Drosophila melanogaster: one gene and its partner. The protein of the gene in region 2 interacts with the protein of the main gene of each other region in a pairwise test. Each region holds a gene or a part of one and is shown on either strand. Other genes may lie near its edges.

Region 1 (8,010 bases), on a different chromosome or scaffold from region 2:
CAAGAGAAGGTAAGGCCAAACAAAGAACTATTAAACGAGGAGCTGCATACCAGGACATCTCAATCAATGCAAAACTGACAAAATACCGCTCCCTGGAGTGAGCGGGAGTAAAAATTGTGTCTGTCATACAATTGAGCCTGGTGACTCAATGCCGATACTGTACTTCATACTTAGAATAATCCCAGTGGCCACCCTGGGTGCGTAAGTCAAAACATGGGAATATAGTCCTAGGACGACAGGGTATGAGGCCGACGTGGATTCAGTGACATTAGAAATATGTCCTGGAAAACATGTGCAACCAGACCTAGGGAGCAGTCTCGCTTATTGCTTCTAAAACTGGACGACGAAAGTCACATGTGTTATCCTTAAGCATCTTGCTTGGGGCTCAATTAACGAAAATTGATGGTGGTTAAAAATTTCGAAATATGTGTATAGATGTGGAAATAAAATGGAATGGAATTGGCTCAGATCTGTTTAGCAATTCGCAGATCATCAATGGTTGAAGTAGAAAGTAGGGAAAATTATGGGAGAGGGCTTAGGCGAACCGCAGGAGGTACTAGAAAGTGTTAACCCGCTTTGGGTTTTAACGGTTGTCCAGAGTTATTTTTTTGACTTGGTTTCTTGACCCGCTTAGGGTTTTTGAGCGCGGAGCGCACACTTAAGTGCTTCATTGTGGGTTGAAGTACGTCCACTTAAGGACTTAGAAAAACTGAAAGCCGTCGAGTATAAGTATCTGCTTAAGTCTAAGTAGCTCGGCTTGACCGGCAGTTAGTTTCGGAAGACACAGTATTACGAATACTATTTGCCAGAGAAGTCTCTCTTTGGTCCAATGCTGAATGAAACGGAAGGATGAAATCCTTGAATGAAAATATAACCTTGCCAACTGGTTACTGGGGATCAGCGGATCAGACCTCAAAACCATTACCGTTTTCTTTGAATATACAATAAGCGAAGGTAATGATTGCTAGATGACATGGTTTTCCAAAAATTATTAAAGATTTAAAATTCGAAGAAATTATTTTTTTTTTCGTGTCACCTATCTCAATTACGAGATCCATCGAGCCAACTCGGATTCGGCGGGTCAAAGGCAGCATCTGGTTCCCGGGATAACTGCAGTGCAATGTGCCCAGAAATTGGATAGTCAGTGGATCAGAGAAGTAGGGGTGAATCCAATCAAGTCAGCGGCAAGAGCATGCGCACACGCTAAAGTGAACTTAAAAACAGACGGCATTCAGTAATAATGCATTCATAGAGGCGTGGTCTAAATGGCATAATGGGGGCACAACTTAAAGCGACTGCAGCACCCAGAGCTACGAAAGCAAATCTGCCGATCGAAGGATACGATAGGGCTCATATTCCTTATCGGTGCTAAGCCTTTAACATTCACCAAAAACACAAACAACAAAAAGACGCACATAACGGCAATGATTTCCCAGTTCAAACAGTAAAAATGCGAAATTCGACCCAAACTCGGAGGTGTACGGTTGAGGGGCGTGTCGCATTACCAATATTTAATAATTATAACGGTGCGTGAACAATTTTCACTGCTAACGGTGAACGGCGCACCCACCACACGACCAAAAAAAGAATGATAGGAAAACACCTTTGCACCTGGATGGAAAAACTGAAAACTGTTGAAAAAGGGGGTTGCAGGCGATCTCAGGCGCTCAGGAGCGCGCCAACACATACATATACACAGCGAAAAAAAAAAAATAGTAATGGAGGAAAAAATGCCTCGCCTTGTAATTTCGACCTCAAAATAGATCGTGTTGTTTCCTCAGTGTACTACTTAGATTTCTTTGGTTTTCGGATCCTGCAGATGCGAATATCATTTGGCACAGGCCATCTATTCTTAATGGAAAACGATTTCAATTGATTTTCCTTACAGTATGCCTGTCTTATGTAGTTTTGCATCATCCATATCCATTGGACCGGCCCTTTCTTATTTTTTTTTTTTTTTGGTTTTTCTTCCGTTTTGTTTTATTTGGGCAGATGTCCCAAAAAAAGGGACGGGTAGAGAGACATGAGAACACGTAAGCACAGGACAATGAAGTCCTGAGCACAATTGGCAGGAGAGTATAGCGCCAAGTAAAAGTGAGGGTGAGTAAATATCGTGCAAAATAAAAGACGTGCGTGAAGGCTTGGCAACTTTGTATAAAAAAATATATTACCATTCCCTTAAATATCATTGAAAATATTTTCCAAATGTTAATGAGGGTCTGTGTGGTGAGCATGACAAGGTTTTAAAACAACTTCAAGTTTGTAGCCGCTATTGGAATTTCAAGCTGTTTTGGCTTTTCACTTCTTGACTTCTATGAGGACAGACAGACTAGACTCTATTTTTAAAAGCAATTCGTTTGATTTGCGGTTGCCGGTTAGGTCCTAAATAATAGTTCACCCTAAAACCGCTTTCTCTCAATTTCCCTAATATTTATTTTGGTGCGTTTTTAATTACTTGTGTCATTATGAATCAAGGCACATGTTTAAAAAAGAACCGCTAGAAAAAAATCCGAATTCTGTCATTCTGTCACAGAAGGAACCCCATTTTGAATATCGAGTCAATAAAGCACCGGAGATATACTGTGCCATAAGACACTCTCTAAAATATAAAACACCTTTTTTTCTAAAATGTGGTACAAATTATAAATTGTCATTTAATATACCTAATTTTCGTTGAGAAATAAAACCACAAGAAACAAATTAAGTTTTTGGAAATGTTCATATTTATTTGCATTTATTCAAAAGCATATATTATCTGCTTGTCATTTTAACGTTCCTACAATTAAATCTATAAAAAAAAAATATGGTTACACAAATACATTAATTTTTGTTATATACTAGACACTCTGTTAGTCCGGCTCAACATTAAGCCGTTTATCAGGATAACTATTTTGTGGTTGGGTCTTACAAGGTTATTTCCATTTGGTTTATATCACTAGATGACTTTAAATATGTAGTGTTCATACATTCATTTTGTCACACTCTTTCAGAGGATATTATAATATGTCTGAAGGTAGCAGTGAGGCATTTCCGACCCCACATCAATAAATATTCATGATCGGCATGTCTGGTGATATAAAAGGTGACTCGGGCAGGATCGATCAACAATATCATACGTACAAGTACCATAGCAAGAATCAAAAATGTACATATATTTTATAGAATTTGGAGAATATACAAATCTTGATGAAATCGTAAATTTGTGATAAACTTCATCGAAATTGTGCGAACTTTCATATTAAATACATGGTTTTAACAGCAAAGGTATATAAGCTTCGGCTGGCCGAAGTTATCCTCCTTTCTCGGCTTAAATTGATATTTACACAATGACTCAGTCATGGCTTGATTAAAAAAAACTTTAGATAGAATGGCCTGCCACAGACTTATGCTGTGAGGATTTAAAATCATTTAAAAAGTATGCCAAAAAATGCAATCGGCTTTTCCGAGATGCGTGATGTGAAAAAATTCGGCTAAACGGACAGATTGGTGCATGCACCATTAGATTTAGGTGCATGTGCCTCCCACCAGTCAATGGCATCGATCATGCTCTCGTCCGAAAGGCAGCCAGCGGTTGTATTGTTGGGCTGATCTTGCTGCAAAATATCGCTGAATTCCTTCTTGAATCCGGGAAGGACTACGTTGTCGTAGAAGCTCACGGGCTCCTGGTCGTAGAACGCGGGTAAAATAGGCGACGATCCCAGGTTCTGAACTTGCTGCTGCTGCTGCGGGGAAGTCTGTGCGTTGCTGCTGCTGCTAATGTTGGTACTGACGTATTCCTGTTTGATTACTTGCTGTTGCAGCGGTGTGGCACACGTCTGTGTCTGTAACAGCAATTCAGTCGAGGCGACAGGTGAAACTGGAGAAGAGCAGGGACTTCTTACCACCTTTTGTGGCACGGGCGATCGCGATAACTGGCCCGAAGCAGCTGTTTCTTCAAGTTTTTGCTCGTGACTCAAATCGCCCAATAAGTCAGTCGTCAGCAGTTGGTAGGTGTTGGTTCCTGGTATTCTGATGTATTGCAACCCATTTAATGTAGTCAAACTAGGCAGGAGATCACTGGCTTGCGGAGGGTTTAGCATATCCTCGGATAAAGTTTGTTGGACAGTCTGTTGCTCATCCATTTCGTAGTTGCTCAGCGAGTCGTCGAAATGTTCATCCAGACAATCGAATTCGTCCTTAATAAACATAAAGCTATCATCGCCGGAACCAGAACTATTCCCCTGACTGTTGAGAGGTGGAAAATCAAATCCCAGCAGTTTTTCCAAACTTCTTATGTACTCTACGGCCATGCGGAGGGTCTCCACTTTGGATAGCTTCTTGCTTGCTCCTCTACCCGCCCCCTGGGCCTCAAAAGCCTCAGATACTTCTTCTGGGATCTTCTCCCGGAGTAAAGCAAATCCATTGTTAACCTGCTTCACGCGATTTCTTTCCCTAGCGTTTCTACGGGCAACGGCTTGTGGCAAAGGCAAACCCTTTCTTCCAGGAGTCCCAAAACTCTGATCGCTTTGGCTTTTATGAGGGTGGCTTATAGTTCCTGCTTTTGGGGGCCTTTCAACCGCCAACTTCTTGTTGGTCTTGCATTTTTTAGCAGGCACTGATGTTTTACTAAGCTGTTGATTCTGCTGGTTGTGCCGGTTCTGCTTTTGGGATTCTCCCAGGGGCCTCTTCCGTTGACTGGATATGGGTGTGGTGTTAGTTGTGCTGGCTGCGGCACTTTGAACAGCGCCCAGCATGCCAAAGTCCCGGATCTTTCGAATAATGGTGTTCTGATTGGCTATATGCTGTTGCAAGGCGTTGGCGCCACTCTCACTTAAAACATTGTGAACGGTAATCTTTCCAAAAGGTTTCAACGTGGTTTTTATTCCTGGATTGGGGTTTTCCTTGGGGTTTTCTTTTGGAGGAGGTGATGGGCTGAAGCTTAAGGCGGCCATAATTAAGTTTTTTGATTCGTGGCTTTTTGAGGGCGGGAGAAAAACTGGTGGCGATTGCGGGTGTACTTTTAGCAAGTTAGTCCTTCTTGAGTGAATGTTAACTGGTGACTGATGTAATATGGTTTCCGTGTCCTTGCATCAGGACAGCTGCTGGCGCTCTGTGTCGCGTGCCCCTAAACTCCGAACTCAAACTAAAACGCAAACCCAACGGAAGTGACTTCGTTGACTGACATACACAACACAGAGCACACACATACAAAACAGAAGGCATTTGAGGTCCTGCGTATCCCTTATGTAAAGGGCCTGACTTTTCATCCCCTAGACTGGGTGTCCCTTCTCGATCGCTCACACATACACCTTTATCATATATATATATTATATACAGTACGGCTTTTGGGAAAACTAACATCTGATCAACTCGAGCCAAAAAGTCCACCTGGTTCAAGGGTGGATTTCGCCACGCTCTCTCTCATTATTTATCGGCAGCAAACACATTATGCTTATATACCGCCCCTATTAATATATGGACATTATAATAACCATATACGTATGCATATAATAAAAAGTATATTCCCTGGGGAGCTTTTTCAGCCCTGGTTTTCAAGGAATGCCCTACCACCTAGGAATTTGCAAAATATCCTAATAGATCACCTTAGACCTCCAATATTCGTCATGTAAAACGCAGAAATGCATCGAATCTTTATTTTTAGCTTATAGCTAAAACCAAGGACTGGTTTCTACTTCATTCGAAAAATGTCTCGGGATCACCTATTGTTAACTTTTCAAAAACTCGTACTGGATAATATATACATATATTTACCAGGACTTGCATTGGCAAAAACATTTTCCTATTGTTAAGCTAATAAACAGCAAGTATATACTGCGAAAGTAATGTCTTAGGTAATTCACAGGGCTACAATTTATGTTGGAAATTGACAAGATGCCAGAGAGCCAATTTAAATCCTTTAAGGGGTGAGAAATCACCCATCCTTCTCTACATTCTTGTTTTTTCTACGTCTGGCAAAAAATTTCTGGCAATTAGTCCGGTGGGAAAATAATTTTACCAGTGCTTTATTTCTATAATCTATTCTTTTTTTTGGAGCTTAGGTCTATCTGTGCAAACAAGTTTTCGAGTGCTACAATAAACTTTTTTGATCCTTCCTCTCAGGTAGTTTCCAACAAACCTGAGTAAATAGAGGAGTATACATATGTGTGTGTGTTGTACTTGCTGCACAATTTATAAACTTGAGTTCACTTAAAAGGTTCAAGGAAAAGGACTTGAGCGCAGGATAACCGGCGGGGAGAAGAAACTTGCGACGACCGACTACCGGTTTTTGATCCAGGATGCCACGTCCTCATTCCTCATTATGCAGACGAGCTCTCAAAGAAAAAGGAGTCAACGCTTGTGCGTACTGAGGAGTATTTGAGTACTGGGAAGTACTGCTCGGCGTCCTTTGTTGTCCTAGAGGATTTGACTCGGTTGCGTCCCACTTTGACGACGCATCGCAGCACTCATCTCAAGGAACTGTTCCTTGCCCCAGCCACGCCTTTCGTGCACTGCAAGAAAATAGTTCATAATTAAATTAACCATACATAAAAGTAGCGATTCCAAAAATATTACATGTAAACGGTTTCAAAAAAGTTTTGCCCCAAGACGCGGCATACCTTTTCGAATTTACTCCCACGTTCGTAAAATTAAGAACCTGCGTTGTAGTCCTGTCACTCTTTTTTTTATATATTTTTTTGGCTGTTATCTTTGGCGGATCGAAATGTTCCAATCTAGGCAAATACAATTTATGAATGGTTTCTGGTTTCTGGTTTATTTGCATTTTAAAAACGCATTGATTTCAATGGGAAAATATCTTTCGACGAGAGAAACGCCAAATGGTAATGAAACAGATGAGTAAACGGAATTGACGCTAGCGTGGAAACATACTGGATCCTCCATGATTTACTGAAACCTGAAGTCGTTCTATTTGGCTTGACCCTCCAAAATCGTAAATCAATCTGCCAACGCATGCAAGTCGCTTTGATTTTCCAAAATTTAAGTTCCCTCTTCTTTTTCCATTTTGTAACCGGAGAAAGGCGCCGGGTGAATATGTCCTGGGCCCATATTCTGTGTGTACTCGTCGTTGACTCAAGTGGATCCTTTAGGATGCTTCATCATTTAGCATCTGTGCACAGTTGTTCGTTCATAAATTGTTTTACCGCTTCTTGTTTTTTCATATTATTATTTCGTCTTTCGAGTTATGAGTGTTGAAAACTTGATGGAACGGAAGTCTTTCCGTGGAAGTCCTTGAAATAACTTTGGAGTCAAGCACTGGGGGAAAAGTGAAAGGACCCCAGCCGAGAACTACACAAAAGGACTCGCTCTACGGGTGAACACCATTTTTGGGACATTGTTTAAGGAAATGTTTGTGACGATGCCTTCTAATTATTACATATTCCCCCCATCGGATCGTGAACGAGTTACAAGTGACCGGTGTACAGATATGTAACTCTTTCTAACTATAAACTAAATAAAATTAGCCAAAAAATTAAGGAAAAGAGTTACTCCCGAATCATTTCTGCTATTTATTTAGCGGCAAACTGTGTCCCGTCCTTGCAGCAAAAATGAGCGGGTGCGGGCTGTTTTAATACCTCTTTTAAACAATACATGGGGAAATAGCGAGTTTCTATTTAAAAACTGCATTCGACTTTAAAGTGAAACTCACAATTCACGCTGATCGGAGTGGTAAATTGTTTTCAGATCGCGCACGTGCCTTGTGCTCTACATAAATGTGAGTGAGTGTCTGTGTGTCTTCTACCTGAGATCCTACACAGAAAAAAACCATCTTGAAATAAATGTGGTGAATCATGCAAGAAATAAATACGCATTCCGTCGTCGTGTTCTTGTAATGGATCTTTTTTTGTAGCCGGATTGGCACGTCTTTTCTTCTTTTATAGTGATATCTAATATTACAAGCATTATTCAAATTTTTTAAACACTTATATTTTTGTAATATATTTATTATATTAACTAAGGACACCATCTTATATTAATCCATTTTTAAACAGTCGAAGAGTGCGTACGTGTTGT
Region 2 (6,737 bases):
GGTATGGGGGATCTAATGAGGCCGTGACCTCATTCAGGCAGCAAGTCCTTGCCGGATCGCAGGTTCCCACACTGCACAACAATCGGAGTTAGCTGCCATAACTAGTTAGGCCAGCTCAGCTACGAATCGGGTTTTAATTTTCTTCATATATATATTTTGTGCCCGAAACTCGTGCCAATCGCGTGTGCACCGCACGCTTGCGCACCAGAGATCTCTCGACGCGACTTGACTCTGTTGCCTTTGGCCGCTATTAATCTTGGCTGAAACACCACCAGCACTTCCCTTACCCCACCAGCCCGCGCACTTTTGCCCCCAATCAGCGTCTAGGCTTTGAACTGCACGTTTGCCAAATTGAAAGCGACTGACTTGGCAACACGGACACCGGCTGAGACTCCAACTCGTAGCGCGACTTCCAAGCCAGCACCGACTCCAACTGCGATTGCGATTGCAGCTCCAACAGAGGCCAGCTTGTGCCTGGGCTTGTGCCTTTCAGCAACGGACTCTGGTAGTCGTTAGGCGATTCATACTCTCTCTTATATGGGTCTTTGGGACATATGAACATAGATTCAGGAAGATATGACTTTCATGATATGCTAGGAAACTGCTGTTATAATATTAATATTAAATATCATATGTTTACTTAAAATTTTTTAATTTACAGACTAGTACTAGTTATCTTAATGGGGACTTAATGTAATTTATTATATCTCTCAAGAGCATTGGCAATTCGCTAATCGATGACCCGTCAAGACTGCCTTTACCCATCAGCAACTATTTGGCTTTTAAGCTTTTGGTTCACACGACTGGCGATGGCAACAAGTTTTGTGCAAAACTATATATACATCGGCAGACAAACAGACGGGCATATATGACAAGCAATTAGTGTGCATTGAGGTTAGTCGAAAATGGTTTTGCGGTCTCTCTATTTCTGTCCATCGGTGTCTGCGTGATTATTTTGCATATTCGCATTACTCATACGCCACGTGTGCCGGTCGAGTTGAAAGTTGAGGCATCTTGAAAGGCGAACCATCGAAATGCCTTGAGAGTCTTAATTGTTATGGCTCCAGTCAGCAGAAAGGCAAGCCAAGTCAAGCCAAACGGCTAACGGAAGTCATGGCCAGAAGACAAACAAACAGAGCGATTCTGCAGCATCATGGGAAATGCTTAGCCAGGCAAAAAGCACGGCCACAAAAAATAACTCCGAGGCGTCCAACCACAAGTGTCATATTGCTGCGATGGTGATAAAGTCGGCCCAACAGCAGCTGTGAAAAAAGGGGCATAAAAAACAGGCAACATTTTATACACTCAGTGCTGACCAGTAGCCCTGAGATCAGCGAATTAAAAGAAATATGTGGAGGACGGGCGAAAAACGAATCTTAGAACGACAACCGGATGTTAAAGTTTATTACGAAAGGCGACAAATGCCGAAGGGTTGGTAATCGGACTATGCAAAAAGAGTTTTATTTCTTTCATTTTGGAACCCCCAATGCGCCGAGATAGCGAAACTGTTACACTTAATCGATACGCTTCAACGAAAAGTCAACCCACAGCCCCAGCCATAGTGGTGGTTGTGCACTGTGAGAAATATTTGAAAACTTAAAAAAAAAAACTGATTACATTTGAATTCGGTTATAAGTAAAATATCAAAATATATATATTTTCCATTCTTCCGAAATGGGGTGATCTATATTTATTGGTAATTAACATAGTTGCTGTTATTGAAATTGTTTCAAATCTACTTTAAACTCCCAAAAAGACCGCACATTTTGTCCACGTGCAGTTGTCGCAGTCATCATCATCAGCCAAGCATGCGACATAATTGCGCGAGTTAAGGCTGCCCCTCCACCCAGCCATCCCTCACCAGTTCGCCCACTGCCCCCCATTGGCGGCTGACAGTCAACCCGCTTGAAATCAACCAGCAGCAACAGCAACAACATTTCAGCAATCCATCGGATCGCATCACAATCCAGCCATCCGTCCAACGTGTGGGAAACACACGACAAATCTGTTTCCCACGGTCTCGTAAAGTAGGCACACCGCACACACACACAAACACCCATCCCCATCCACTGAGCCATGGGACCCACAATCACATAGGCTACTGCCTCGTAGGCTCCCTCGTGTCTCATTCTCATTGTTGGTGTGAGCGGTACGGAGCAGCGGACTTCGACAGCGAATGGGAGCCGAGCACTGTCATCATTGACAATAAGTATGACATGGATGAGGGGGGATGGAGGGCGGGGTGGAGCGGCCTGAGAGACACGCGCAGTCGCCGAGAATGAGATCCAATCCGAAAGCCGACTGTCGACTGCCGACTGCTCAGTTTCCCTCTGGCCATGCAATCAATTGAAGACGACGCGCGCCAGAGCACCAAAGCTGCAGATACAGATACATTTGTATCTGCGGCGGGGCACGCTCTCGCTCGCTCCCATTGCATGCACCTTGGTTCGAAGTCGACTAGTTTCGGTTAATAATACTAATTTTGGACTAATAGTATTACTTTCAATAAGCAGATTTTACGAAAATAATTGCAGTTTTATTAACTTTGTAAGTGATTAATATTTTTTGAAATTGCTTTCTTTCAGGTCTTAAAATTTAGCAAATTTTTAAATCGTCCTTTTGGTTGAACAATTATGTTGCATACTTTTGAGAGTCATATAAAAAATAGTTGTAGCAAAATATAAAGAACACAAATTTAACACTATTGGAAATGAAAAATATTGATATTATATTCGCATTGCTAAAATGGATTATTTCTTATTTTTTATAATAAGCATAATTAAGAAGGTAAAGAGTTCCATGGTGATGGTCCCACTGTACCCCCTGCAGACGGTACAACCCCCATCATCGATGGCCTACAGTAGCCTCTCTTTGTGCCGCTGCCGAGCGCCGCTACCGATCCGCGACCGAAAAGAACCGAAGTGGAACTCGATCTTGGGCCCGAGTGCCTGGGAGCGTGTGTGAGTGATCATGCGGGAGCTTTGTGGCCGGGAGAGCCTGATCCCCGTTTGCCGGGAGAGCGTGGCTGTCATATAAAAGTAGGGCTGGGAACTAGTTTGCCACTCATTTCGTAAAAGTGCCGCCACTCGAACGCACCGCAATCGGTGGAACGCGCAACGCACGCGCAACAAACTCGTCAAAAAGTAACCAATCTATGAAACCAACCAAAATCAGTAGTGATAATGTGCAGTTGAGAGACTAAATACAAAAGAACAATCCTTAAAATACACAACATAAAACAACCCAATCGATCATGGTCATGGAGATGTCCAAGACGTATCAGTACCGCAAGGTGATGAAGCCGCTGCTGGAGCGCAAACGGCGAGCCAGGATCAACAAGTGTCTGGACGATCTCAAGGATCTGATGGTGGAGTGCCTGCAGCAGGAGGGCGAGCACGTCACCCGGCTGGAGAAGGCGGATATCCTGGAGTTGACCGTGGATCACATGAGGAAACTCAAGCAGCGGGGTGGTCTTTCGCTGCAGGGAGTAGTGGCTGGTGTTGGCAGCCCACCCACCTCAACCAGTACCGCCCACGTGGAGTCCTTTCGCTCCGGCTATGTGCATGCTGCCGATCAGATTACCCAGGTCCTGCTGCAGACACAGCAAACCGATGAGATTGGGCGCAAGATAATGAAATTCCTATCGACGCGACTAATTGAGCTGCAGACGCAGTTGCTCCAGCAGCAGCAGCAACAGCAACAACACCAGCAGCAGCAAATACCGCAATCATCAGGCCGCCTAGCCTTCCCGCTGCTGGGAGGATATGGACCGGCAGCCGCCGCTGCCGCCATTAGTTACAGCTCCTTCCTGACCAGCAAGGACGAACTGATCGATGTGACATCCGTCGATGGCAATGCGTTATCCGAGACGGCGTCGGTTAGCTCGCAGGAGTCCGGCGCCTCTGAGCCCGTCTGGAGGCCCTGGTAATTGGGCGTGCCCAATATGGATCTTATCCCTAATATTATAATCGCAACCCAAAAAAATGGCTATTGACCGTTCTGCAACAAGATCCGTTGTCTTCCAAAGTAAATCATATCAACCTAAGTTAATTGAGGTCTAATCGATTTCTGAATGGTTTTGAAATACTTTTAGTTTTAGTTCCGATAATGGTAATTTGTAAATTAATTGTTTAATTTCAACTGTGATATAACTAAAGTACGTTGATCAATCAATCAGTGAATATATATTCGAGTGCGCTATTTTCCTACTCCAAAAGTTCCCTAAGTTTAATATCTCGTTGCGCTCTCTTTATTGTTTAGCATATATTAAGCTTTAAATAATTTATAAATGTTAATTTATGATTAGTTGAGAAAGAATAATCAAAAATACACTACCCAAATAAAATAAATGATTTAAATTGAAAACACAATGTTTTTCTTTTGCGGGATTTCAAAATTTTATAAAATATTTATTTTGTTATATTAATAAATATAAACAAACTGAACGATATTATGCAAACCTAACGGAATACTGTTCATTCTTGTCCCAGTCCGCCAATGTTGTTTACTGCCCCAATAAATTACCTTTAATTGAACATCACCTCAAATGTATGCAACACATTTTCGACTCGACCCTGATTCATTCCCATAAGCAGATCATCTAATTGGAGCCTGTTCTTACCACCAATCTGATCGGCAATCAACAGATCCTCTCTACCTGCCCGATAACTGGTTGGCATTGTGGTCCAAATCAACAGGCCAAACAACAACCGTCAATATGCACTACCTGCTGGCAGGTAAATTGATCAACAATAAGACCAAAAAAGGTTCAGGATCGAATCGGATTAGGGTCCGCTCGTTTTTCAAATGAGTCATGCCAATTAAGAAAGGACTTCGCTCCCCATTTATTTTCTGTGTTGATTTGTAAACGGAAAATTGTTGGAACAATAAGGGGGAAACAAAGAATTTAGATTCCTATTCAATTATTTTTTTTTTGGGTGAAATGTAACACAATTTTTGGTAAAGATTACCAATTTCCAAATGTGTGATTTAAGAGAAGGCCCATTTCATACGATTTATCAATGATTAAAAGTAAAAAAAACAGTGGTTGATTTCATTTAAATTGTATATATATTTTGATTTTTTTGTGTTTGTTAAGTAAAATGTATCACAATTTTTGTAAAGCTCTTCAGTTGAGTTGATCGGCTTGCGTGTTAATTTTTGTGGAATGGTTTCAAAAATTAACGGAAGACGTTGATTAAAGCTGGAGATCCAATGGAAGACATAGTTGCCGGATGATGGATGCAGGTTGCAGGACGCTGATATTTTTTAGGCCTGAACCCAACGATCCTGGGGGATAGCGATGGCGTTGGAGGTGCTGCAGTAGAGGGGCTCGACGAGGTCGTTGTCGGCTGGCAAATCGGAGACGGCGGTCCAGAAGAATGTGCCGTGAGCGGTGCGGACGAAGTGAACGGGAACGGTGGGCAGTTGCTCGAAGTCGTAGTCCTCAATTTCGCAGGACTGGGAGAGACGCTCGTTGGCCTCGTTCTCGCAGGACTCCAGAGAGGCGCAGATGGAGGCGGATTCCAGATCGGCGTTGCGGCTGTTTTCCATGGATTCCAGAGACTCCAAAGAGTTGGCCTTGAGGGCGTTCTTGAGGTTCTGCTCCTCCTCGACGCGCTGTTGCTGCTTGAAGATCTTCTGCAGCAGTTTCTTCACGCTGTAGGACAGCTTCTTGTTCGATTTGATGGTCATGGTGTTGTTGGTGTTGATCTTGTTCTGGCACATGATGATGTGTTTTGGAATTTTGTGTTTAGCTGCTGTGTAGCTGAGATGTGTACTGTACGAAGCGTTGAGCTCGAATGATGCCTGATCCTCCGAGCCAGGGTCCTTTTATACTCGCCAGGACGTGGAGAAACCCGAAGCCGAGCAGGTCACAAAACACCGAGTGTGGGAAACTACAAGGATACGTGTCCCGAAAAATCCTATACACAGTGCGGATACATGGCGAGGCAACAACAAAAACGGCAGGTGTGTTTTTCGAAAAGGGACTGCATCGGCATTAACCTGCGTGCGTCGGAGTGTGACGGCATGTAGTGTCGCTCCGCTCGCACCTGTTGAAGGTGCGGGCAATTTTATCCTGCTGCAGGATCGTGAGAAACGAGACTTTCTACCAGTTCCCACAGTTTCGGTTCGAAAGGATCCTTTTTGACAAGGAGATTCGTTTTTTTCCCTTTTTCTGCCGATCACTTTTGGTTTTTATGTGCACTTATCTCATTATGTAGGCAGTGCGAGCGGGACGGACAATGATGGAGCCGGGGGGCGGGGGAAATCCGTTTTCCATTTCTCGAACACGTGTGCAGCTCGAGAACGTGGGAGAATATTTTCAATTTTCAACGCTCGAACGGAGGCGAACAATTAATGCCCGAAACCAGAAGATAAAATAGCTCAATAGGCAAACAATCCGTAGAATTTGATGGAGTAGGGGGCACACAGATCCCAGACGAGGGACCAGGAATCCTTAACTGCGAGCATTTAATGCGCTGTAATTTGAAATTTATCAAATTGTATGTGGAGGCGAGGCGTTGCCCGAAGGAGCGAGATGGCAAAGGAGCTGGAGGACAAGGATCGTCGACGAAGGAGTTGCTTTTAATTTCTGTTGCTGATGGCACACAATTAGCAGGGGACCGATTCGTATTATGATGGGTAAAAAATATGTAAGAGGGAAGGAGGAGCAGGACCACGAGTACATCGTTGGAGGAGCACACGCACAGCGAGCGCCTGATCTTTTTTGTGTG

Evidence for each region. Proteins that work in one complex are often made in the same cells at the same time.
Region 1: the proteins of E(spl)m3-HLH (region 2) and ase interact in a two-hybrid assay, tested with the Drosophila melanogaster proteins (one study listed by BioGRID).

The regions. Positions count from the first base shown.
Region 1 is NC_004354.4:457,877-465,886, reverse strand, and holds ase (asense), read right to left. Parts: upstream 5,141-8,010; 5' UTR 4,932-5,140; coding exon 3,471-4,931; 3' UTR 2,711-3,470; downstream 1-2,710. UniProt on the Drosophila melanogaster protein: Involved in the determination of the neuronal precursors of optic lobes in the central nervous system.
Region 2 is NT_033777.3:26,018,767-26,025,503, forward strand, and holds E(spl)m3-HLH (enhancer of split m3, helix-loop-helix), read left to right. Parts: upstream 1-3,056; 5' UTR 3,057-3,253; coding exon 3,254-3,928; 3' UTR 3,929-4,361; downstream 4,362-6,737. Other genes in the region: E(spl)m4-BFM (enhancer of split m4, bearded family member), read right to left, coding at 5,269-5,727.